Linked DNA regions of Diceros bicornis minor. The protein of the gene in region 1 interacts with the protein of each later gene in a biochemical or structural test. Links are inferred from orthologs where the notes say so. Each region holds a gene or a part of one and is shown on either strand. Other genes may lie near its edges. The genes, in order: CDK9, CCNT2 and CTDP1.

What was found.
Region 2: the proteins of CDK9 (region 1) and CCNT2 form a complex in vitro, tested with the Homo sapiens proteins (4 studies listed by BioGRID, with this or other methods). The link is inferred for Diceros bicornis minor from reciprocal best matches to the Homo sapiens genes CDK9 and CCNT2.
Region 3: of the proteins of CDK9 (region 1) and CTDP1, one has a biochemical effect on the other in vitro, tested with the Homo sapiens proteins (3 studies listed by BioGRID). The link is inferred for Diceros bicornis minor from reciprocal best matches to the Homo sapiens genes CDK9 and CTDP1.

The regions. Positions count from the first base shown.
Region 1 is NC_080767.1:35,786,361-35,793,670, reverse strand, and holds the start of CDK9 (cyclin-dependent kinase 9), read right to left. Parts: upstream 3,051-7,310; 5' UTR 2,880-3,050; coding exon 2,440-2,879; intron 1,972-2,439; coding exon 1,890-1,971; intron 1,101-1,889; coding exon 1,010-1,100; intron 651-1,009; coding exon 484-650; intron 360-483; coding exon 188-359; intron 31-187; coding exon 1-30. UniProt on the Homo sapiens protein: Protein kinase involved in the regulation of transcription.
Region 2 is NC_080749.1:20,537,917-20,545,165, forward strand, and holds the start of CCNT2 (cyclin-T2), read left to right. Parts: upstream 1-4,219; 5' UTR 4,220-4,243; coding exon 4,244-4,401; intron 4,402-5,248; coding exon 5,249-5,330; intron 5,331-7,249. UniProt on the Homo sapiens protein: Regulatory subunit of the cyclin-dependent kinase pair (CDK9/cyclin T) complex, also called positive transcription elongation factor B (P-TEFB), which is proposed to facilitate the transition from abortive to production elongation by phosphorylating the CTD (carboxy-terminal domain) of the large subunit of RNA polymerase II (RNAP II).
Region 3 is NC_080755.1:67,832,376-67,840,261, forward strand, and holds the start of CTDP1 (RNA polymerase II subunit A C-terminal domain phosphatase), read left to right. Parts: upstream 1-4,871; 5' UTR 4,872-4,983; coding exon 4,984-5,288; intron 5,289-7,886. UniProt on the Homo sapiens protein: Processively dephosphorylates 'Ser-2' and 'Ser-5' of the heptad repeats YSPTSPS in the C-terminal domain of the largest RNA polymerase II subunit. This promotes the activity of RNA polymerase II.

The DNA.
Region 1 (7,310 bases):
GGTCAATGGGGGGGCCGTAGTCCCGCTCCCCTGGGAAGAAGAGCGCACCAGGAGGGCCCCTTGAGCCCGAGGGCCTCCTGAGACGCAATGTCCCAGGGCCAGCGGCTCAGGAAGCCCTGGCAGTGGGGGGGTGAGGCCGGGTAAGTGCCCAGTCCCTGCCCCCCTCTGCCCGCTCGGGAGTCCTCACCGAGCAACAGCTCCGGGGGCCGGTACCAGAGCGTCACCACACGGTTGGTATAGCGGTTGGGCTGGCTGTTCTTGGCCAGGCTGAAGGCCCGGGCCAGCCCAAAGTCTGCCAGCTTCAGAACTCCATCACGGGTGATGAGCACATTAGCCGCCTTCATGTCCCTGTGCAAGATCTGCAGGAAGCACAAGGTTGAGGGCTCAGTCAGGTTACCAGGGGTCCTTTAGCCACACCCACCCAGCAGTGAGAGCAAAGGTCAGCCCAAGCCTTGGCCTTTCTTCTCCCACTCTGGTCCCCACCTTGTTCCTGTGGATGTAGTAGAGGCCGTTGAGCAACATCTGCATAACCCTCTTGATCTCAGACAGCGTGAACTTGACTAAGACGTTGCTCAGAAGCCCAGCAAGGTCATGCTCACAGAAGTCAAACACCAGGTATATACTGCCTTTGCAGCGGTTATAGGGGGAGGCTGAGGCAGGAAGAATCGGGGGAGGGGAGCAAGAAAAAGAAAGTTACGAATCCCACATGCAACTCATTTTCCCACAACCAGCTCCTACCCCCTCCAACCAATGGACACCCGGACATCCGGCTGTGCATTCCTTCACTGGTAAAGTATTTCCTGAGTGCCTCCTCTGGGCCAGGTGCTGTGGCAGGCCCTGGGGAAGCACCAGCTACGATGAAAGGACCAGAGAAAGCAGTCACAGTTGGTATGTCTGGGTTAAGAACAGGCAAGTGAGGCGTGTCCAGTTCCAACTTTGCAAACACAGCCTTAGGCTGCAAGGCTCATTTTCTCCGTCTGAAAAAAGCGATGAAATCCAAGAGACTTACCTTTGGTTCGACAGATCTCAATCAAGTTGACCACATTCTCATGTTTTAGAAGCTGGAGGATCTTGATTTCCCGCAAGGCTGTAATGGGGAACTGCAGGGGGAGAACGACAGGAGGGGGTCACAAGTGAGTGAGCACATTACAGACCAAGGAACCAGCCATGAGATCAGTCCTCAGGAGCACAGGTTAGGAGACAGAGTAAAATCACAGGCTCTGAAATCAGCTTTCAGATGCCTTAGCTGTAAAATAGGTCTAAGATCGGTATGCACCCTCAAGGAGCTGGTTTAAGACAATGAATTCAAATAGCAGTACTTAACACGAACACTTTACTACTAATCACTAAATGCTTCATAGTTTCTTTAACCTTCAAATTTTAGCTCTATGCCTGTGTTTAACTTGCTGGCTGGTAACAAAACCAACAAAAATAACTATTAGAAAAATTTCCTTGCTAAGAAGCAGGTCTCTGGGAAGCTGGACTAGAGCTAAGATGGGAGAGAGGGGACACAACCAGGTTACTCCTTTTCAATTGAGCACTAGTTATCCTTTTAAAGGTACTGCATGTAGTTTTTTTTATATTGAACAAAACTGCATGCTATCAAGTGTTTAAAGGCCACCTAACTTCAGGAACCAAGCTGCACTCAGTGCAAGCATGAGCTCCCCCTCCTGGCCCCAAGCATATTTACCTAAGAATGAAATATCAAATGTTTTAAAATGTTTGAATTAAAAGATTTAATTTGGAAGTCAAATTCCCTGGGATATGGAAATTCCCGAACTGCCGCACATACAGTGAATCTCAACGTGAGAGTTCTCGAAGACGCTGGATGGAAACCCAACCCCGTGCCCAGGAGAGCTGGCAGGCCCGCCGTCCCGACCCGTACTCACCCCCTCTTTCTCGTTCTCCATCAGCACCTTCTTCAGAGCCACTTTTTGGCCGGTCTTGCGGTCCTTAGCCTTAAACACCTCCCTGCAGGCCGAGAAGGGGACCCAGGAGGGCTCATCAGGCCGCTTCCGCAGGGCCCGCCCCTCCCCCCGCAGAGGAGGAGAGCAGGAAAGAAGGGACTCCAGGGCGGGGCTGGGCCGGGGACCCAGGGCGCTCAGCTACCTCACCACCCGGTATCTGCGGCCCCTCTCCGAGCCTCTACTTCCTTCCCTGAGTCCCTTCTCCTCACCCGGGCGTCTCTCCGAAAGATCTCGCTCCCCTCACGGGCTCCCCTCTGCAACCCCTCCCCGCCCCCCAGCACGGGCCTCAGGCTCCTCCCCGCCAGCCGGCTCTGTCAGGCTCCGGCGGGCTGCGGCGCGGCCTAGCGAGAGCAAGGCACAAGCCTGGGGCTCGGTGGCTTCCCGACCACCTCGGACCTGGCCCAGGGCCTCCCGGCGTCAGCCCTGAGGGGTGCAGGCCCAGGGCTCCCGGTCCCTCGGGGCTCAGCCTTACCCGAAGGTGCCTTGGCCGATCTTAGCGAGCTTCTCATATTTGGACACCTCATCACAAAAAGGGCACTCCACCGAGTCGTACTGCTTTGCCATGGCCGCCTCCAGCGCGCCGCCGCCGCCCCCAGCCGCCGCCGCCGCCGCCGCGCCCGCTCCGGGTCCCGCCGCCGTGCTCCAGGCCCCTCCGCGGCCGCGCCACTTCCGCCTCCAAGGCCACTTCCGGCCTCGCGGCGCCGACCCCGCCTCTTCCGTTCGCCGCCCGCCGCCAGGCCCCCTGGGACTTGTAGTTCCCGGGAGGCCAGGAGGAGCCGGAGCTGCAGAGGCGCCTCCGCCGCCGCCGCTGCCCCCGCCTCCGCCGCCGCCACTGCTGGCGGTGGCCCCTATCGGGGGCGCGGGGAGCCGGGGCGCCGGGGCTGGGGCTCGGGGCGGTGCGTCCCGCTGCATCGGCCCGGGCCGCTGCTGCTGCCGAAGCCGCTGCCGCTCTGGCGCCCGATCTGGGGCCAGCCGCAGTGCCCTGCTCCTCCTCCTCCTCCGACGGCGCCGCCTCCGCCGGGCTGCGCGGGTCGACGGGCGGGGGGGCGGCCCCCGAGCCGCGGCCTGGGGGCTCCCTGGCCGGGCCCGGGCCCGGGGCGGCCGGGCGAGGGGGCGAGACGGGAAGAGCCGACGAGGAGGCGGCCCGAGAGTCCGGGAGGGGGCGCGTTATAAAGGGGGAGGTGCCCCGGCTTCGCCCTCCCCTCCCCCTCCGCCCGCCCCCTCTCTCCTCCCTCCCACCCTCCGCGGCCGCACCTGCCGCCGCCGCCGCCGCCACCGCCGCCCGCCAGCCCACTGTCCGCCGGCTGCCCTCGGCGCGTCACCGCCCGCGGCCCCTCCTCCGCTTTCGGAGGTGGGGCCCCGCGCTCGACACCTGGCTGCGGGGCGCCTCGCCGCGTGCCTCAGTTTACCCCCGCACGCGAGCTGCCGCAAGAGGCCCCTTCCTCTCTGGTTCGGAGTGCCCCCCCCCCCCAGCCGACAAGCGAAGGCAGGAGGCGCCAAGGGAGCGGCCTCCGGTCCTGAGAGGGAGAACGGCCCCCGCCGCCGCCTCGCCTCCCCCGGCCCCAGCCACCCGCCGTTGACATGGCAACCGACGGCCGCCAGGGGGCGCGGCGACACTGAAGGCGGCGAGGGAGTAACGCGCGGGTCTTCCAGCCCTGGACCCCCTGTTCTCTGGGAGGCAGGGATGAGACCCACAGGACCCCGGTCCCCGCCGAGTTGCGCCCGGATCAGTAATCACAAAAATAGCTAGCATTCACTTAGCACCCCTGTGTGCTCAGGAAGTGCTGGGCGTTCCGCTGAATCCTAAATCAACAGCCCCATAGTCAGGATCACTAACCCATTTTACAGATGAGGACATTGAGGCTCAGAGAAGCAAGGTCATTTGCCCAAGGTCACACAGTGACAAAACTGGGACTCGAACCTGGTCTGTCTGAATCTGTAAAGGATTCTCCCGACTCAGGTTATTTACAGTCTGGCCAGGAGTATAGCAGTGGTGTGTTTGAGGCCTGTGGTCCTTATGCCAGGCACCAAGCCCACCATTCACCCATCTCTTCTCTGACCCTGTGCCCCCTTCCTCTACACCAACCCCCAGCATCTTTCTCATACCTTCCTGGCTCCAGGATCCTCTCAATTCTTCCTCCAACTCTACTCAACAACCAGCCCCCAGCAAAGCTGTCTTTCCTACCTCCTCTGTGACCCTTCAATCTGACCCTCCTTTCCAGTCCTCTGCTGATGGATCCTGAGTCCTGGCCTCCCCAGTCTGGCCTCTCCATCTGTCCCCCTCACAGCACACTAGATCATTCTGAAGTGGAGTCTACATGTATTTCCCTCCACTGTCTTGAGGAAAAACCAAATTGTGATAATTGAAGCTCTTTCCAGCTCCCTCCCAAGCTGTGGCCACCAGAATCTCCCTCCTGTTTCCTAACTCCCTGGCCTTCCCGCCTTCAGGGCTGTGCTCTCTGATTGCACCCCAGTACCCTCTCCAACTGCGGGAAGCCCTTGGGGTTTCCTCCCAGCTCTTACCCTACATGGCTTTGCCTTGAAGGATCTGGTGATCCTCGTGTCCCCAGAGACCCCGTTCTGGGGGAGGGTCCTGCTAGGGAGGGCCTTGAGGGTCAGGTGAGGAGCAGGGAGCCCTCTCCTGAGGACTGTGGAGCCAGCGAGGGTTTTAGGCAGTTGAGTGTGGTGTCAGGGAGTGCTCTGGGGTCAGCTTCATGGGTACACTATTAGAAGCAGAGAGGCCATTGGCTAAGTTGGGGGTGGAGAGGGCAAGGAGGGAGAAAATAACAATAATTGTAGTCATTACAATTTATTGAGGGAAAATAAATGGTCTAAGCTGTACACTTAGCATTTCATGGGAATTATCTCAATTCTTAGCCATACGAGGTGGGTACTATTACCACGTCCATTGTACACGTATAGACGCTGAAACTCAGAGGTGACATCACCTGACCAGGGTCAAACAGCTGGCCAGTGACCGTATTGGTGTTTGAACCAGGTCAGTCTGGCACAAACCCCAAGCACTTACTCATGTCAGGACCCCGCCCGTGGAGGCTGGAGGTGGAGCTGGGGCACAGCTAGGGCGGAGCACCGCTGGGCTTGGTGTCCTGGCTGCCCATGGGAGGTGTGGGAGGGGATGGTAGCACTGGGGGGTCTGCTATGGTTTTTGGTGGCTTCTACCCTGAAACTTTCAGGCTGGGGCCCCTGCCTGTTTCCCACGAGCCTCCCTAAGTCACATCCTGTGGGCAGACGCCTCAGCAGAGGGTTCCGGTGGTGTCATCACCTCCACCCTGCCATCCCTGGTCTGAACCCCAACATCCGCCAGTCACTTCCCCTTGGAGCCTCAGGCCCTCAGCCCTGCCCGATGGAGGGAGGCAGGCAGGAGTGGTCCGGAGCCCTCCGGAAAGCTGCCCAGGCTGCCCAGGCCTGGGGCCCAGATCGCCCACGTGGAAGTGAGAAGTTAGGTCCTGGCCAGAGACAATTTCTCTCTGACTTTGACATCTGATTGGCTGGTTCGGGGGAAATAGTTCCTGCCCCATGGATTGGCTAAGCTGGCAAGGCCAGGCACCTGGCCAGTACTCAGTAAATGTTTGCTGACTGGCTGGCCAGGCTCTGAGAGAGCGCCTGGTCCTGCTGCCATTTAACACGTAGGGAAACTGAGGCACGGAGTACGAACGGGAGCCACTAGCCAGCTGTTTGACCCTGGCCTGAACTCTCGATTTTCCTCCCCTGAGCAGAGACAGGATGGGGCATATGGAGGGAAGGAGAAGACAGGCTCATGGGTGGGCTACTCTTGGCTGCTCATACATCTGGGGGACAAGGGGTCACTGGATAGAGATTCAGGACTGAGCATGGCTGTGTGATGCCCTGAGCCCTGTAACACCATGATGTTCTGCCCACATCAGCCAGGTACTGACTCTGTGCCTGGCAGTGTTGATATGTGTCATCCTCCTGGAACTTTCCAGCACTCCTGTTAGGAGGTTGCTATTATTGGGCCCAAGTTACAGAAGAGGAAACTAAGGCTCAGAGTGGTAAAGAGGCCTGCCCAAGGCCACACAGCCAGGAAGCTCTGCAGCTGGGATTCAAAGCCAGGTCTCTTTGCTCTCAAAGCCCAGGGTCATTTACCATCATCCTACACCGCCCCCAGGACAGACAACTGGGTCGAGCTGGGGAAAGGCATCGACTGAGACCAAGAGCATAGTAGGCACGGGGCCAGTGTGGATGCATAAGGCTAGTTTCTCTCTCAGGGAGCATGAGGTCTGCTTGGAACATGCCATGAAAACAAAGTGTCTGTAACGTGGATGACACTCTCAGTACAAATGTTTTATTTCATCGCTACAGGATCATGTGAAGATGTTGTATTTGTTCCATTTTACTGATGGGAAAAACGAGGCTCAGAGAAGTGATGTCACTTCCCCAAGGTCATGCAGGTGGGGTCTGGACTCAGGTCTGCCTGGGCCAATGCCTTTGACTATGAACTTGAAGGTCTCCAATCCTAATGGTTCCTGGCCAAACCAGGCAACTGAGGCATAGACTGAGGGAGAGGGGCAAGGACGGAGGGGACAGAAATCAGAGCAGGGTTCCTGGGGACACTATGGCTCATTCTAGACCTGCAGAGACTCCATGGAAGCAAAAGATGGAGCCAGTGGAGGGAAGAGTAGCATCCAGGTGTGGGTCCAGCGCAAGCAAAGACCTGGGGGCAGGAAGGCACTTGTGTGTTCAGGGCTGCAGAGCGTGGACTGGGCTGGGCTGGCCTCCAGCGCAGGCTGAGGAGGGCCCGCGGGACAGCCACCCGCCAGCAGGTCCCCAGCCGCACTCCCAACGGCCACTCAAGGCAGCACAAAGGGGGCTCTCAGCTCAGCGGAGCCGCCACACTGAGCCCCATTCATCCTCCCAGGGACGCGGCAACTGCCCTGGCGCCCGGGCCAACGGCAGGGCCAGCCTAGCACTGACAAGGCACCTCCACCACGGCAACACAGCCGCGCCGGGGCCGGGGCTAGGACTCCCGGCTCTCACGCCATGCGCCTGCTCCGGGGTGTTCCTGGCCAGTGCCAGTCTGCTCCTGGCCTGAACCACCCCCATCCCTCAGCAACAGCCGCCGTTCCCTAGTCCAGGGTTTGCTGAGGCCACAGTGCACTGGCCTGGGCCAACATTTGCTCCTTTCATCCTCCCAGGAAGTGGGGGCAACTGTGACCCCATTTCACAGATGAGAAAACTGAGACCCAGAGAGGTAAAGTCTCTTGTGAAGGATCACAAAGCAAGTTGTGAGTGGCCCTGGCTGGGAAGCTAGCCCAAGTCCCTGGACTGCCTCCTGGGAAGAAGCTGGGGGACCTACCCCTTGCC
Region 2 (7,249 bases), on another chromosome or scaffold:
CCTTTGTCCCTAAAACAACATTGCTCACACCCAGAATCTCGAAAATCTCTCAAGAAAATCACTTTTTCAGCCTTTTCTCTCCTTTGTTATCTAGTATTAGTACATTCACGCATTGCTTAACAACAGGGATATGTTCTGATAAATTTGTCCTTAGGAAAACTCGTCACTGTGCAAATATCATAGAGTGTACTTAAACAAACCTGATGGTATAGTCTACTACACACGTAGGCTATATGATACTAATTTTACGGGACCACTGTCGGACATAGTCTGTCGTTGACCAAAACGTCATTGTGTGGCACAAGACTGCACTTTTTCAAAATATACCCCAGAAAAAAAAAAATCCCATCACCATCAGATTCCAAAGGACAACCATTCACAGCCATCCAAGCATTTCTCTTCCTTGTACAGTACCCTTCCCCACATTTTTGATCTCTCCTAAAAAGTAAGCCAGCTCTGATTCAACTCAATTTATATTACCCAACCAGAATACTTAAACCTATGTTCAAGGTAATTACTTAAGATTAACTTAATTAAAATAAATACCCACTTATTTTGTTTAACTTAGAGACTATTCTGAGGCTTTTTCCCAATCAAAATTGAACAAAAGTGAATGGAAGTTGCCATTTCTACACAACACTGCTCACAACCTAATAAAAAATTTAAAGTTTATTTTTGAAAAGTCAATACATGAACATGTTAGAAAAGTTCAAAACGATCAAATTCAACCTATGTCTCCCAGAAGGAACTAATTTTATCTGGTTTCTTTGTGTGTATTCTTGCAAAGATAGTCTATGATTATAAAAGTATTCAAATGTACATATTCCTTTGTTCATTTTACCCAAACAGTAGCATCTTGTTTTTTTTTCCTGCTTAATACCTTAGTGGTCATTCCACATGTAAGCTGCTGCCTTCTTTTTGTAACAGTCTATTTTAAGTTGATAACTTAAATATGGACACACTCTAAAGCTCTACATTTTACTCCCTCCTCCGTCACCACATTTTATGTTTTGGATGTCACAATTTACTTCTTTTTATCTTGTGTATCCATCAACAAATTATTGTAGTCATAGTTATTTTTACTACTCTTGTCTTCTAATCTTCATACTAGCTTTATAAGTGGTTAACCCACCACCTTTACAACATTAGATTATTCTGATTTTTACTACATATTTACTCTTACCAGTGAGATTTATACTTTTACATGTTTCCCTTTTACTAACTAGTGCCCTTTCATTTCAGCTTAAATAATTTCTTTTAACATTTCTTGTAAGGCTGGTCTAGTGGTGATGAACTCCTTTAGCTTTTATTTGTCTGGAACATTCTTTCTTTCTCCAATTTATGAAGGACAACTTTTTCAGATAGACTATTCTTGGTTGGCAGTTTTTTCTTTCAGCACTTTGATGCCTTCTTGTTTTTAATAGCTGAATAATATTTCATCACATAGACATACCATAATCATCCAATCCTCAATTCATGGACAGTCATGCTTCCAATCTTTTGCAATTATAAATTGCTACTGAGAATATCCTTATGACCTATGATGTGGAACATCTTTTCACATGCTTATTTGCCATCTGTATATCTTCTTTGTGAGATGTCTGTTCAAATCTTTTGCCTATTTTTAAATTGTATTCTTTGTTTTCTTCTTATTGAGTTTTAAGAGTTCTCTGCATATTTTGGATACAAGTCTTTTATCAGATATGTGTTTTGCAAAGATTTTCTTCTCGTATTTTCACTCTCTTAACAGTGTCTTCTGCAGAGCAGAGGTCTTTAATTTTTGCTTATGAAGTCCAACTTAATTTTTTCTTTCATAGATCATGCTGTTGCTGTTCTACCTAAAAACTCATTGCCAGACACAAGGTCACCTAGATTTTCTCCTATGTTATCTTCTAGAAGTTTTATAGTTTCGCATTTTACATTTAGGGCTATGATCCATTCACAGTTAATTTTTGTGAAAAGTGTAAGGTCTGTGTCTAGATTGTTTTTTGATTTTTTTTTTTGCATATGGGTGTCCAGTTGTTCTAGTACCATTAGTTGAAAAACTATCCTTTCTCAATTCAATTGCCTCTGCGCCTTTGTCAAAGATCAGTTGACTATATTTGTGCAGATCTGTTTCTGAGATCTCTATTCTGTCCCATTGATCTATTGTGTCTATTCATTTGCCAATATATGCTGTCGTTGCCAACACATACTGTAGCTTTGAGGTTAGGTAGTGTCAGTCTAATTTCTTTGGTACCATGTTGGCTATCTTGGGTCTTTTGCCTTTCCATATAAACTTTAGACTCAATTTGTCAATATCTATAAAACAACTTGCTAAAATTTTGATAGGGATTGCATTGAATCTGTAGATCAAATTGGGAAGAACTGACATCTAACCATATTGTTTTCTGATCCATGAACCCAAAATATCCTTCCATTTATATCTTCTTTGATTTCCTTAAACAGAGTTTCGTAGTTTTCTACATATAGATCCCGTATATATTTTAGATTCATACCTAAGTATTACTTTTTGTAAACGGTATTGTGTTAATTTCAATTGTACATTACTGATATATAGGAAAACAATTGACTCGTATATTAATCTTATGTCTTACAATCCTGCTATAATCACGTATTAGTTTTGGTTTTTTAATACTTGGAGATTTTCTACATAAACAATTGTCATCTGTGAACAAAGTTAGTTTTATTTCTTCCAGCCCTATCTGTTCACTTTTTGTTTCCTTTTCTTACTGCATTAGCAAGGAATTCCAGTACAATATTGAAAAGAATGGCGAGAAGGGACATCCTTGCCTTAGCAGGAAGGCTTCTAGTTTCTCACCATTAAGTATGATGCTAGCTGTAGGGTTTTTATAAATGTTCTTTATTAAGTAGAGGAAGTGCCTCTGTATTACTAAGTTGCTTCAAGTTTTTATTATGACAGTGTTGGAGGTAGACACTTTATAAACGTTGCTTTAAATCAATCTATCCTGGAACTTCCAAGCAGCATAAGATGTGAGGCAAGCAAGGTAGGTAAGAAATGAAGTTTAGACAGTTGTTCATAATAACTGCCTACTGCAACAAAATCAATATCTCAGTACTGTAGTGTAATGGGGACAGGCAGAGCCCCTAAACGATGACAAAAGCCTGGAGCTTTAATCAGGAACTCACTTAAAAGTAGTATCTGTTGCGTTTTTTTAAAAAAAAAAAAGTATGTCTGCCTATACTCTGTAGTCTTTGGCAAATAGTTAAAATTTAAAACTTAGTCGGCTCAGACCCAGAGACTGACTCCCAGAGTGGAGCTCTGCGGTATTTTCTTGCAGGGACGGGAGAAGGGGTTAATCAACAAGTGTGTGCGCGGTTACTGTATTAAATACTAAAGATAAATTTTTTACTCAGTTCCTCTTTACTATCTGCTTCTCCTTAACCTTCTCTTTTAAATCATAGCCTGGTTTAAAAACACACTACCGATAGGGACTAGAAATTCAGTTCTAGCTACTAATTGGGTAAGTAACCTTAACCTCTAGCAAGTAACCTTAACAAATAAACCCACGGTCTGCCCAGTTGTGGGATTCAAACATGATAACGTAGGAAAAAAGCACTTAAGTGCGGCACAAACATGGAACGTTCCTATGCACTCTTTCCCAGGAAGGTCCTTCCCAGAGCTGCCCGTTGGGCGGAGGCTGTTCCTCAAGGACACGGGAGCCGAAAACCACGACACTGCGCGGCGAACCAACAGCAGGGAAAAATGGAAGCTGTGGTGTGAGACAAAACAGGAAGGATTTTCTCTTTTTAAAGGGCCGCCAGACTCCCAGCCCAAGAACTCGCCCGGATTTCAGAGCCCACGCCCAACCCACGGCGCAGCCGCGTGCCCCCCTCTCGCGGGACCCGACCCCAGGCCAGCCTCTTCCCTCCTCTCCTCCCCGCCCCTTCGCCCCGCCAATCCTAGGTCCGGCATGCACCGCGCCGACCTTTTCCTTCCGAGACGACCCCCACCTTCGGCGCCTCCAAATGACAAACTGCGCGGGGCATTGTGGTCCCGTGCGCGAGAGCGACGCAGGGGTCCGGAAAAAGAAAGCAAAAGACTAGGGCGAGCCGGGAGGGCGTTCCCCCGCGCATGCGCATGGGCGGCGGCGGGGGTGAAAAGGGGCGGTGCGTCGTCTACGGCGAGCGGAGTGGGGCGGGGTCGTGCGGCCTTGGCGGGGAGTCCGCGAGCCGGGAGGGGAGGGGGGAGGGTGAGGGAGCGGGCGGAGGAGGAAGTGTCATGGCGTCGGGCCGTGGAGCTTCTTCTCGCTGGTTCTTTACTCGGGAACAGCTGGAGAACACGCCGAGCCGCCGCTGCGGAGTAGAGGCGGATAAAGAGCTCTCGTACCGCCAGCAGGCGGCCAACCTCATCCAGGACATGGGACAGCGTCTCAATGTGTATCCTTTCCTATTCTTGGCCCTCCTCCGCTCACGCCCTGTCCTCTTCACTACTCGCCCGGTCGCCGGGCCTGGTGCCCCGTGAACATGGCGCCGCCACCTCGGCCTTCCTGGGCTTTGGCCACGCCGTAAGGGAAGGCAGGCTCGGGCTCGGGAGGCCGCGAGCGGCCAGCGGAGGAGGGGAGGAGGAGAGGCGTCCGGGAATGCGGGCTGGGAGGCTGCGTTGTGTAATCTGTTTGGGGCCGCGCGTGGTGGCGGCGGGGGTTGGGAGTGCCGCCCAGGCGAGAGGGGGAATCTTAGGGATTATCGCAGAAGAGAGTCGGCTGCTTCGACTTCCCCTCGTCCGAGAAGGGGTTGAGAGGTAGGAGGGTTCGCGGTGCTGAAAGGCGTTAAGTGTGCTCCGCAGCCTTTCCCCGCGCTGCTCGCGGGTTTGATGGCGGTTCTCTTGTACCTTGGGAGCGCCCTGGACGGAGGGCTTTTATGTTCTTGGCGTGGTTTTGTATGGGTGTGCGCGCGCGCGTTGCAACTGTGTGATGTTGAGTTGAGTCAGTCGTAGCCATTGATAAAGCCTTCCTGGGCTCGCTTAATAGCAATATTAGAGTGGAATGCTCAGCAGTTACTATTATTACTGTTTGTTTGGCGTCGAGCCTTCTCTCTCCCTCGGCACCCTCCGTCACAGCCCTGCGGGTTTTCGGGGTTTGTTTTTGTTTTGTTTTGTTAACAGTTTTTGGTTTGGGTTTGAGTTGGAAGCATTGAAAAAAAACTGTAGGTTGGGAGTTTTCCATCAAAATTATTTTGGAAATGAGGTCTTGTTCTTCTCAGATATTTCCTAAATGATACGTTCCAGCTCTCAGCTTACAATAAACACTGCGATTGTTTATATGCACAGATTTTATATGCACCATTCTTTCACCAAATTCAATAGAAATGTAAGTACTATTTTATTGTCTGTTTTTACTACCACAAAATCTTAAGGTAAATCGATACGCAGAAAGAAGTTAGTTGATCATTGATTTTATTGTTGGATTTAGTGTTGTAAGTTAACAGTGAAGGTAATACGCATGATAAATTTTTTGATTCAAATGCGGGGTTGTTGGTTGGTTGGTTTATTAATTTGTGATGACAGGCTGCTAGGCGCTATGTTAGACTCTGCCAGGTCTTTTGAGCTAAAAGATAAAAGAAACGTTTCTCTACTCGGAATTATTACATCAGTGTTGATTTAAGTTTTTCATTTAAATTAATCAAACTTTTGAATAATTTCAAACTAATGTACAGTGTAATTTAGGCAAGCCTAGTCATTCTGTTGTGTATCTTAATCTTATTCGACTTAAATTGTTTCAAATATTGTGAATTGGGCTTAATTTAATTGCAGTATTCTTTTGAAATGACCCTTTGAAAGAGTTGAATGTTCAGCAGAAATATTTCATTTGCTAACACAATTTCTTAAGATGTCAGACGTTCCTGTTGATCACACTTCAGCATTAATTGTCTACTTAAATTTTTGGTGATTCAAATGTCAAATCTTGCCTCAAACATGCTATGTCAGAGTTTGAGTATGTATATATAGTTTTGAAGTAAAACTTACCCTCGAATACTAAGGTACTGATTTTGAACATAACCTGTAAATGTTGACATACTGAGTAGCGACGTTCAGTTGAAATTTTTATTTTAAGTTACGAAAGATGTAACTTTGTTCTTTTCACAGTAACATGCTGTAACATATTGTCTTGCATCTGTTAACAAAGAAAATTGTGTATTTAGAAATATTTAACCCCATCTTAATTCTCATTATATTTTTGGCTCTTTTTATCACAGCTATTTTTAGAATGCAATTCTGAAAGGTGTGTGTAGAAAAATAGACTGTGTAAGACTATGCTATTTGTGGATTGTCATTAGGACCTTTTTGCTAAGAAAACAGTCTTTGAGAAGGTCCTTGAAATATTTTCTTGGATTGGACGGAAAAGCTTCATGGTTTAGATTGATTCCTATTTTAATCTTTTCTGATCATAATTCTGATTTAGTTTATCAGATTAGCATGTAAGTTTGTCTTGAACAATATGTATTTTTGTATACGTTTTGGTCTCTTGTGATCTCCATTCCTTCTACTCTTTCTCTTTTAAATCTGTGTGGTTTTTGCTTTATTTCCATTTTCCTAGTTATTTCTTGTGCACAGAACTTAGGTCAATGATAGTGTTATGGAAGAGAGAGGAAGCCTTTTTGGTAATAACATTTAGATTGAAGGAATGAAATTTAAATTGTCTCCAAAGGAAGTAGTGAACTAATGGATACTAATATAAATGTGGCTTTCCCTAAGCAGCCCTTGAAAATGTTGGTCAAATCACAGGTCAGAATAGTTCTGGAAATTCTTGATGTGGGTACAGATGTCCCATTTACAGATGTCCCTGTAGAAAAGTAAGAATCAGGCTTACTTTTCTACTTCTGGTAAATGATCTCACCACAAAACTTCATTTTTGTTTTTGAACCCTCCCTCCTTCATAATTTGTCTCTATGGCCTGGTTGGTGTACTTTAAAACAAATTATCTTATTTTCAGCTAAAATTCACAGTTTTAACTTTAAATTGACTGGTGAAGCCCAGATTGCTTGGATTCTAACTTTCACTATTTTATTTAAATGCCATCATTCAATAAAAAAACCAGAATATTAATTTTTAATACCCTACTTAGTGTCTTATGTGTGTATGAAGGTCAACTTCACCATTTTACATTGAGTCATTATTAGGATAATTGAAATCTGCTGTTAATTTCTACTTTGAAAAGGAACCTTGTACCCTTCATATCTAACCTTTGTCGTCTTTACCTTTGCTACTATATCAAAAGTGGTTTTAATA
Region 3 (7,886 bases), on another chromosome or scaffold:
TTCTACAAAGCCCAGGTTAGGGAAGGCATTCCTAAAATTGAGAACTTCTATTTATCAAAAGATCTCATAAAGAAAATGAAAAAGACAAGCCAAAAATGGGTAGACGATGTGGGTAACAGATAATAAAGGCTCTGTATTCAGAAACCATAAGGAACTGCCACAAATCCATAAGACAAAAGCCCAACAGAAAAATGAGTGACGAGCATGAACAGGGATTTCACAGAAAACACAAGGCAAATAAAAAATAGGAAAAGATACTAAGCCAAAATGCCTATTAGGAGAATTCAAAGTAAAACCACAACTTTTAATTTTAACACAGATTTCCACCTAGATTGGCAGAGATTAAGGAGTCTGATAATACCAAATTGTTGAGGATGTGGTGGGAGTATAAACTGAGACAACCATCTTCAAAACTAATTTGGTGTTCATTATCTCATAGATCTGAACATGTGAACATCCTACGACCCACGGTTGCACACTCAGGTCTACACCCTCAGGCATTAACTCCTGTGCCCCAGGAAACACGCAGGATGCTCACTGCAGCACTTCCCATAACACCACAAAGTGAAAACAATTCCAGTCTCCATCTACAAGAAAATGGACAAATACATCCTGCTACATTCATGCAACAGGCTATTACACAAGAGTCACAATAAATAAACTATAATCAAATAAAATAATAAGAACTTGGATACATAGTGATGAACAAAAAAAGCCATTCACAGATAAGAAACATACATACGATGCATTTTTATAAACGTGGAAAACAGGCGTAACTAAACGATAGCTTTGTGTGTACATAGACACACACACAGCAAAACCCCATATAGAATAATGGCAACCAGGAGACTGAAGCTGGCGGCCACGCTGGTGGGGAACTGAGAGGACAAGATGGGATGGTGAGGTAGTTATAACAACACTGGTAATGTTCTAAACTGTAGGTGGGCTGACGGGTTCATTCTAGGATCACAGTCTTTGGTATGTACACAGTTTACGTAGTTTTTAAAGTGGGGAGAGAAGAACACAGGGAGAGAGAGATCCGAGTAAAGCTATGAGACGTGACCACCGGGCAGAGATGTAACTGTAATCCTCACCCATGTCTTTCCCCCATCACTTCTGTTTCACAGAAACATTGCCCCTACTCCCTCAAGGACCAGCTTGCTCTTCACGTATTCCTGGCCCAGCCTGGACCTTCCAACACAGCCCCTCCCTACTGGAAAAGTCAGCCCTTGGTCTCACCTGAACGCTCCACAGTGGTTGACCCACTGACCACTCCCTGCTCGCTGCTCCTCCCCCTTCTCTGCCTATGACATTACTGTAGCCACCTCCCCACAAGAGAAGCTCCCCTCACTTAATGTCATGTACACTGTCCCCCCAGAACCCCCAGGAACCTGCTCACTGGCCCTGCTCTCCCACCAATGGCTGACTTGACTACATGCCCAGGCAACTCAGACATAACAGATTCCAAGGGGACTCATCTCTTCCCAATGTGTCCTGTCTCCCTTTTCACTAACCCATCCAACAAGTAATAAAACCCACTGGTTAACTCAGAAACTCTCCCTGCGACCCTCTCATCTACTGAGATAATCCCAGAACTGGGACATCTACTTCTGGGCTCTCTCTGCCCTTAGCTGCTAGCTTTGACTTAAGCACAGATTGGGTAAGCACATATGTCAGCTCAAAAATTTTTAATGACTACCCGCTGCCTACCAGGGTGGTTCTCAAACCTTGATACACATTAGAAGAACCCAGTGAGCAAAACTCCTGATGCTCCAGCCCCACCCAACACCAATTAAATTAGAATGAGGGATGGAACCGTGGTATCAGTAATTTTTCAAACATCCTAGGCCTGTTCCTCACATTTTTTCCACAAAGGACTCTATTAAGAGAACGCCCAGAACCTCAATCATGATGGATGGTCCTTATGCCTAGAATGCCCATCTCCTCTTCTCCTCATGCCAAGACCCCATCCACTTCTTCTTCCAGGTAGGATGACGTAGGTAGAAACCAGCTATGGCTCCTGCTGCAATAACTTGGGAAAAATAGATAAATGCAAATATCAAGACATCAGATAGGTCTGGAAAGTAACAGGACTGAAAGAAGATTCTAGAGGAAAGAACCATTCCTAGACAAACTTCTTTCTCTCAGTGGCCCTTTCCTTCTCTAAGGCATTTGATGAGTCTGAGCAGTCTGACCTTGAGCTTGACAAAGACGGGGAGACTGGACTAACATGAAGATAACTCCTCTGCTTGGGCTTGCGCGACAGACTGGAAACAGATGAGCCCCAGACACCCGGTGGCTTCCTCACAGGACATTTGCTTACTACTAGGGACACATGCAGGATTGGGGGTATCGCTGGGTTGGCAAAATGGTGTGAAATCTCCTGCAGTTGGAAGTGATTCAATTCCCACTAACAGGAAGGGCCCACAACAGCACACAGGAAGGCTCACTTCTGAGACATCTGAAACCAGGAGTGGACTGAGTCATACCTAAGACTTGAACACAGCCCTGCCCCTAATCAATTCTTGATGGAATGGAGGTGATTGGCCCTTCACCCTGTATGCCTACAGAAGAAAGGCTCAGGCATCCTGTTCCTACGCTTCTTCGGTACAGCGTCTGGCACACTAGTAAAAACAATCCCAACAGCTGCATCCCGTGTTTCTCTAGAAGTCCTGGGGAGAGCACCGGGCCTCATGGGCTAGTGCTGAAGGGAGCGAGCAGAACCAAGGAGTGAGTCCTGAGGATCTCACTGGGCAGCAGCTGGGAGGAGCCAAGAAGGCTCTCTGGAGCATTGCAGATCCGCCTCTTGAGGCTTCTAGACTGTTTGGGGTGACTTTAAGGAGGCGAGGAGCTGGAAAACTTGCAATAGCCAGTGAGCCTGAAAAAATTTGTTCTTTGTGACAGCTAGAGTGACCTGGGCGTGGTGAGAGGGACTGAGCTCCTTTTGTCAGCAAAAGGATTCAGGCAACAGAAAAAAACAAAACGCCAGCACCGCAAACAGGTCAAGATAAGGCCTATACAGCTAATGCGTGGCCTTCTGGCGTCCATTAGGATTGTGAAACACCAACCGCCCCCACGGCAACAATGTGAAAACTGTGTTGCTACTTCCTAGGGAGCAGGGTCCAAGTCACACTACTAGAAGATACATGCTTTCACTCAACAGCGCCAGACTGTGTTAACCCCAGAAAATGATGCTCCTTTGAGTGAGGGTACTTGCTTCCCGGACAACCAGAGGAAAAACCAGCGACAACTCTGTCTTGCTGGGCAGTGTGGCTTCCTTCAACACCCAGCGAGCCTGGACCTGGGCTTTGAAAAAAGCTTCTAGAGAAGGCTGTATGGAGGCTCAGAGGCGGGAGTAAGAAAGCGCTGACGAAGAAAATCCTCTTCGAAGGGTCCGGAGTCCACGAGGCCCCCATAACACCGAGATGAAATCATTTCTGTTTACCTGGTGTAGGTCTACTCCTATTTTCTACTTCCTCTTGAGTCAATTTCCGTATTTTGTCTTTCTAGGAGTTGTTCCCTTCACCGGTTACCTGATTTGTTGGCACACGGTCGCTCATGACGCCCTCGCGCTCCTTTCCACTCCTCTAAGGCCGGTAGTACTACTTCTCCGTCTTGCTATCCTGACTTTAGTCATCTGACGTCCCCTCTTCCTCCATCTAGCTCACGGTTTGTCAAACTTGCTCACGTTTTCAAAGCAGCACCTGCCGGCCTGCAGATTTGCTGTTTTCCGTCGCATCCACTCCTGCCGTGATCGTGACTCCTGCCTCTGCGCCGGGTCGTCCGCCGTTCCTTCCGACGCCGCAGGTCGCCGCGGACGCGCTCCTCGGGGCCCGCACCCGCGCGGCGCAGGCCGGGCGCGCCCGTCTCCCTCCCCCCACGGGCGCTCGCTCGCTCCTCGGCGACCGCGAGCCCTCCTCATCCCGAGCGCCGTCCGAGTGCCGCAAACCGGGATCCGGCGGCTCGCTTCCCGTTTCGCTGACCCGCCCCTCTCCCGCTCCGCGGGAACGGTCACCGGCAGCACACGGCCCGCCCGGAGAAGGCGCGCACACGGAGAGACGGGCGCCCCGGGCCCCCGCGCGTCCTCACTGACCCGCCCCTGAGAGCGCCGCCGTCGAAGCGCCACCCCCCCCCCCCGCCCGGCCGTTTCTCCGCGGCCTCCGGGCTCTGCCGTCGGGGCTCCGTCAGGATGCGCCTGCGCGTGAGGCTCCACAGGGGCCGCCCCGAAGGTGACCTTGAGGGCCCCGGGCGGCCCCGAGGGCACCTCTCCCCTGCGGGCCAAGGCGGGAGGCCGCCCCACGGGGGCACGTCGGCAAGGCGGCGAGGAGGAGGCCAGCGTCGGGGACCCCGAGACACTCGACCGCCGGGGCACATGAGCGACCCGGCGCCCTCCGCCCTCTGACCCTGGACGGCGCGCCGCATGCCGGGACCGCAGCTCCACGACGCCCGCGTTGTATGCCGGGACCAGCCGTCTAACGACACCGAATCTCAGCGCCTGACGAAGCCGTGGGACGGCGGCCCGCATTGCATGCCGGGCCTCGTAGTTCTCACGTCGCCGGGCCTGAGCTCGTGACGGGCGGGGCTGTGGGTCGGCGGCCCGGGTTGCATGCCGGGACCCGTAGTCCCAGGACGCCAGCGACCCTAGGGCAGATGGGGCGTGTGGTGACACTGTTCCTGCCGGGCCCACCCCGCACGGTGGTCCTAGGACGCTTCCGGTACTCGGGCCGGCGCAGCGCCTCTCGCGCCCGCGTGGGCGTGTGTTTACCCGCAGGCCCCTCGGCGTACGCGCACGTACGCGGCGTCACGTGACATCGCACGCCGTCCCGGAAGTCGGCGCGGGCCAGGGCGGCGGGTGGAAGCCGGTGCCGGAGCGGGAATCGCAGCGCCGCCGCCGCCGCTTGGGCCGGGTCGCCCGCCCGCGATGGGCGTCGGGCCCTGAACGCCCGCCCGCCGCCGCGTTTCCTCAGCGACCCGCCGGCCGCGATGGAGGCGCCGCTCGCCGGCCGCCTTCCCGCCGAGGGCGCCGCGCCGGCCGCCGTGGCTGAGGTGCGCTGCCCGGGCCCCGGGCCGCTGCGCCTGCTCGAGTGGAGGGTGGCGGCGGGCGCGGCCGTGCGCCTCGGCTCCGTGCTGGCAGTGTGCGAGGCCGCCGCGTCCGCGCAGCCCGCTGGGCCCGCCCCTGCCCGCGCCGGCGCCGGGGGTTGCGTGCGCGCCGAGCGCCGGTTGAGGTCGGAGCGCGCCGGCGTGGTGCGGGAGCTGTGCGCGCAGCCCGGCCAAGTGGTGGCCCCCGGGTGAGTGGGGCCCGGGGGAGGGGAAGGGAGGGGATGCCGGACCAGGAGAGGGGATGGGGCCGGGGTCTGGAGGGGGTTTCGGGCCAGGAGAGGGGAAGGGAGGGGGCCGGGGTCTGGAGGGGGTCTTGGTCCCGGCACTGGGCGGGAAAGGGTTCCCAGGACTGCAGCTGAAGGGGCTGTGCTCACTGTGCGTTTGCGGGTGTTTCTGAGGCTGGACGACAGTCACTGCTTGTGATTTTATCAAATGCAGGTGTTTGCCTTTAAAAGAATTCTTGAGCCGCCGAAGTTGCACTCTAGGAAACAGTGCGGTCGTTCCTCTTTTTCTGTAGTAGGTGCCTCCCTGTCTCTGAGATGCCGCGTTTGTAAGTTAAGAAAACTCGGGCAGCTCCACGCTTCTCGCGGTGTAAACTGGGGGGGGGGGAGTGCGTTTCTTTAGGTTTGAGTAAATCTTGTGAAGCGCGGTTGTGAAACCTGGCGCAGTTTTGCATCAGAGCTCGGGAAGGGGGTGCAGTCTCCCGCGAGTGGTTCAGGGCGACAGAATAGAAGCACACGCTCCCACCGTAGGGTCTAGCTCTCTGTACGTGCGTTTTAACCTCATAAAGGGCCTTTTTTCTTTTTTTGCAGTGTGTGAATCCGATAGTCTACCTGTCTGAATTTACCGGTGTTGTGCTCTGAGATTTGATTGATGTGTGGGCACAGGTGTGTGCCCGTGGCATGACTGTGGTTGTCATTGTCAGGAGCAGAAAGCCAGGGTAGGTGAGCGTTCCTGCGTGTAGTGATTGGTGCGCAGCTTTCCTCTGCGGAGCCACAGGGTGTCCTGGGTGTTCAGGCCCTTTCTGCCCACGTTGGCCCTCCTCTGGCGCACGGTGCCACTTGCTCTGGTCTTGGCTCCTCTCCCTGTGGCCTGCACTGATCCTCTGGCTGTTGAGCATCTGCCGCCTGCCCTCCACCCCCCAAGAAGCTGATGACCAGGATAGGATGGGAAAGGACTGGTCTTTATCTCAGCCCCAGAATCCTCATCCTGTGTTCCCTTTTCCTAGGTCATTGTTTGGAGACAGAGTCTGGGTCCTCAGCCTTCAGCTCAGGCACCCACGCCTACCCACGGAATGCAGGTGGGGTGGAAGGGGAGCTGCCTCGTGGCACCCTCCACCGGAGCCCCCTGCCTGGCTTCTCGGAAGACAGGGGCTCACTGTGCCGTACATGTGACACTCTGGTATGCTGCTGTTGTTATCTTGGAGTCAGATCTTACCTGACCATCGCTTGCGCCCTAATGAGCCCATAAACCCGTCAGTCCGTAAATTATGGAGGTGAAGCCCAATGCTGTGTGTCGCTGTGTAGAAAACCCTGAAGTGAAAAGCTCTTCTCCGTGTTGTTCTGTTTCTCTGGTGTAGAAGGCTACCAAGGCCCAGACAGGGCAGTGACAGGTCACAGCTGGTGAGAAACACCACATGCATGCTTTGACCCCATCAGCTGGTCTGGCCAATCGCAGGAGCCCAATGCATTGATCTCACCAATCAGCCAGTTCCCAGCTGTGAATAGTCTTTTTCTTTTTGTGTGTTTGGTGTTGAGATCCTGGGGTGTCTCACTGCGGTGGTCTGTCATGGGTTCCTTGAGAGCCTGTTGAGTGGCAGCGTTTCTCCTGGGATGCAGGTGTGAGTGAGTATGAGGAAGGCACCAGCACAGAGCCAGGCTTACCTGGCTGGAGCTGTTGTTGCCATCGTCATCGCTGTCATCAGCAGGATTCATCCTGACCGCATCGGGTTATTCTCTGGCAATGAACAGTTCTAGGAGCTTAGAAATGTTGCATCTGGGTGTAGTGGACATGATCACCCCATTACCGTTGCGACCTGTGGTAAGATTGTATGTGTTTGTAGTGCTTCATGCCATCAGGTAGAGGTAGGAACTATCCTTACTCCACAGACTGAGGAGGGGACTGAGGTCCCAGAGGTTTTGATGTGTGCAGCACCTTACCTTGCTGAGGCCTGCCTCGTTTTCTCCTCCGTGTTGCCCTCTCCTTAGGCCATTCTTCATCCGGAGAGTCTCAGTGGGGGCAAGTAGATAGAATGACGATTTATGTTTTTGTAATATTTGTGTGGGTTAAAATTATCTTGATTTGAAAATATCGTGACAGGGTACCATTTGTCAGAAACCAACTCTGTTAGTTATTAGTTTACCTAATGATGTCCGTCCTTGTTTGCTCTTTTGTCTGTCGTCATTGACTGGGAGATGCTGAAGTCCCCAAAAAAAAGGAAGATACGTAAAATAATCAGGGAATGAGTTACCATCGAGATGGGTAAGGAGGAGGCTGTGGGAGCGTCTTTGTTCTCAGTGGGCGTCTGACCAGCTTTGTCTGTGCCCCGTACCTGGTTTGTCTGCAGGAAGAAAGTCTGCCTCAGCCAGTCTGGGGTGAGCGCCGCCGGAGAGCAGGAAGGAGGATTGCTGGATAACGTGAAGGCCCAGCCGTCGCAGTATTGCTGTCTCCCTTGCTCTGTAGACTGAAGAATAAGGAAAACAACCTGCGATTAGTACCCGGTTTTAGGGTTCTAAAATTAGGTAGTGACGGTTTTTATTAAATTCTAAACACAGTTCAGTCAGTGC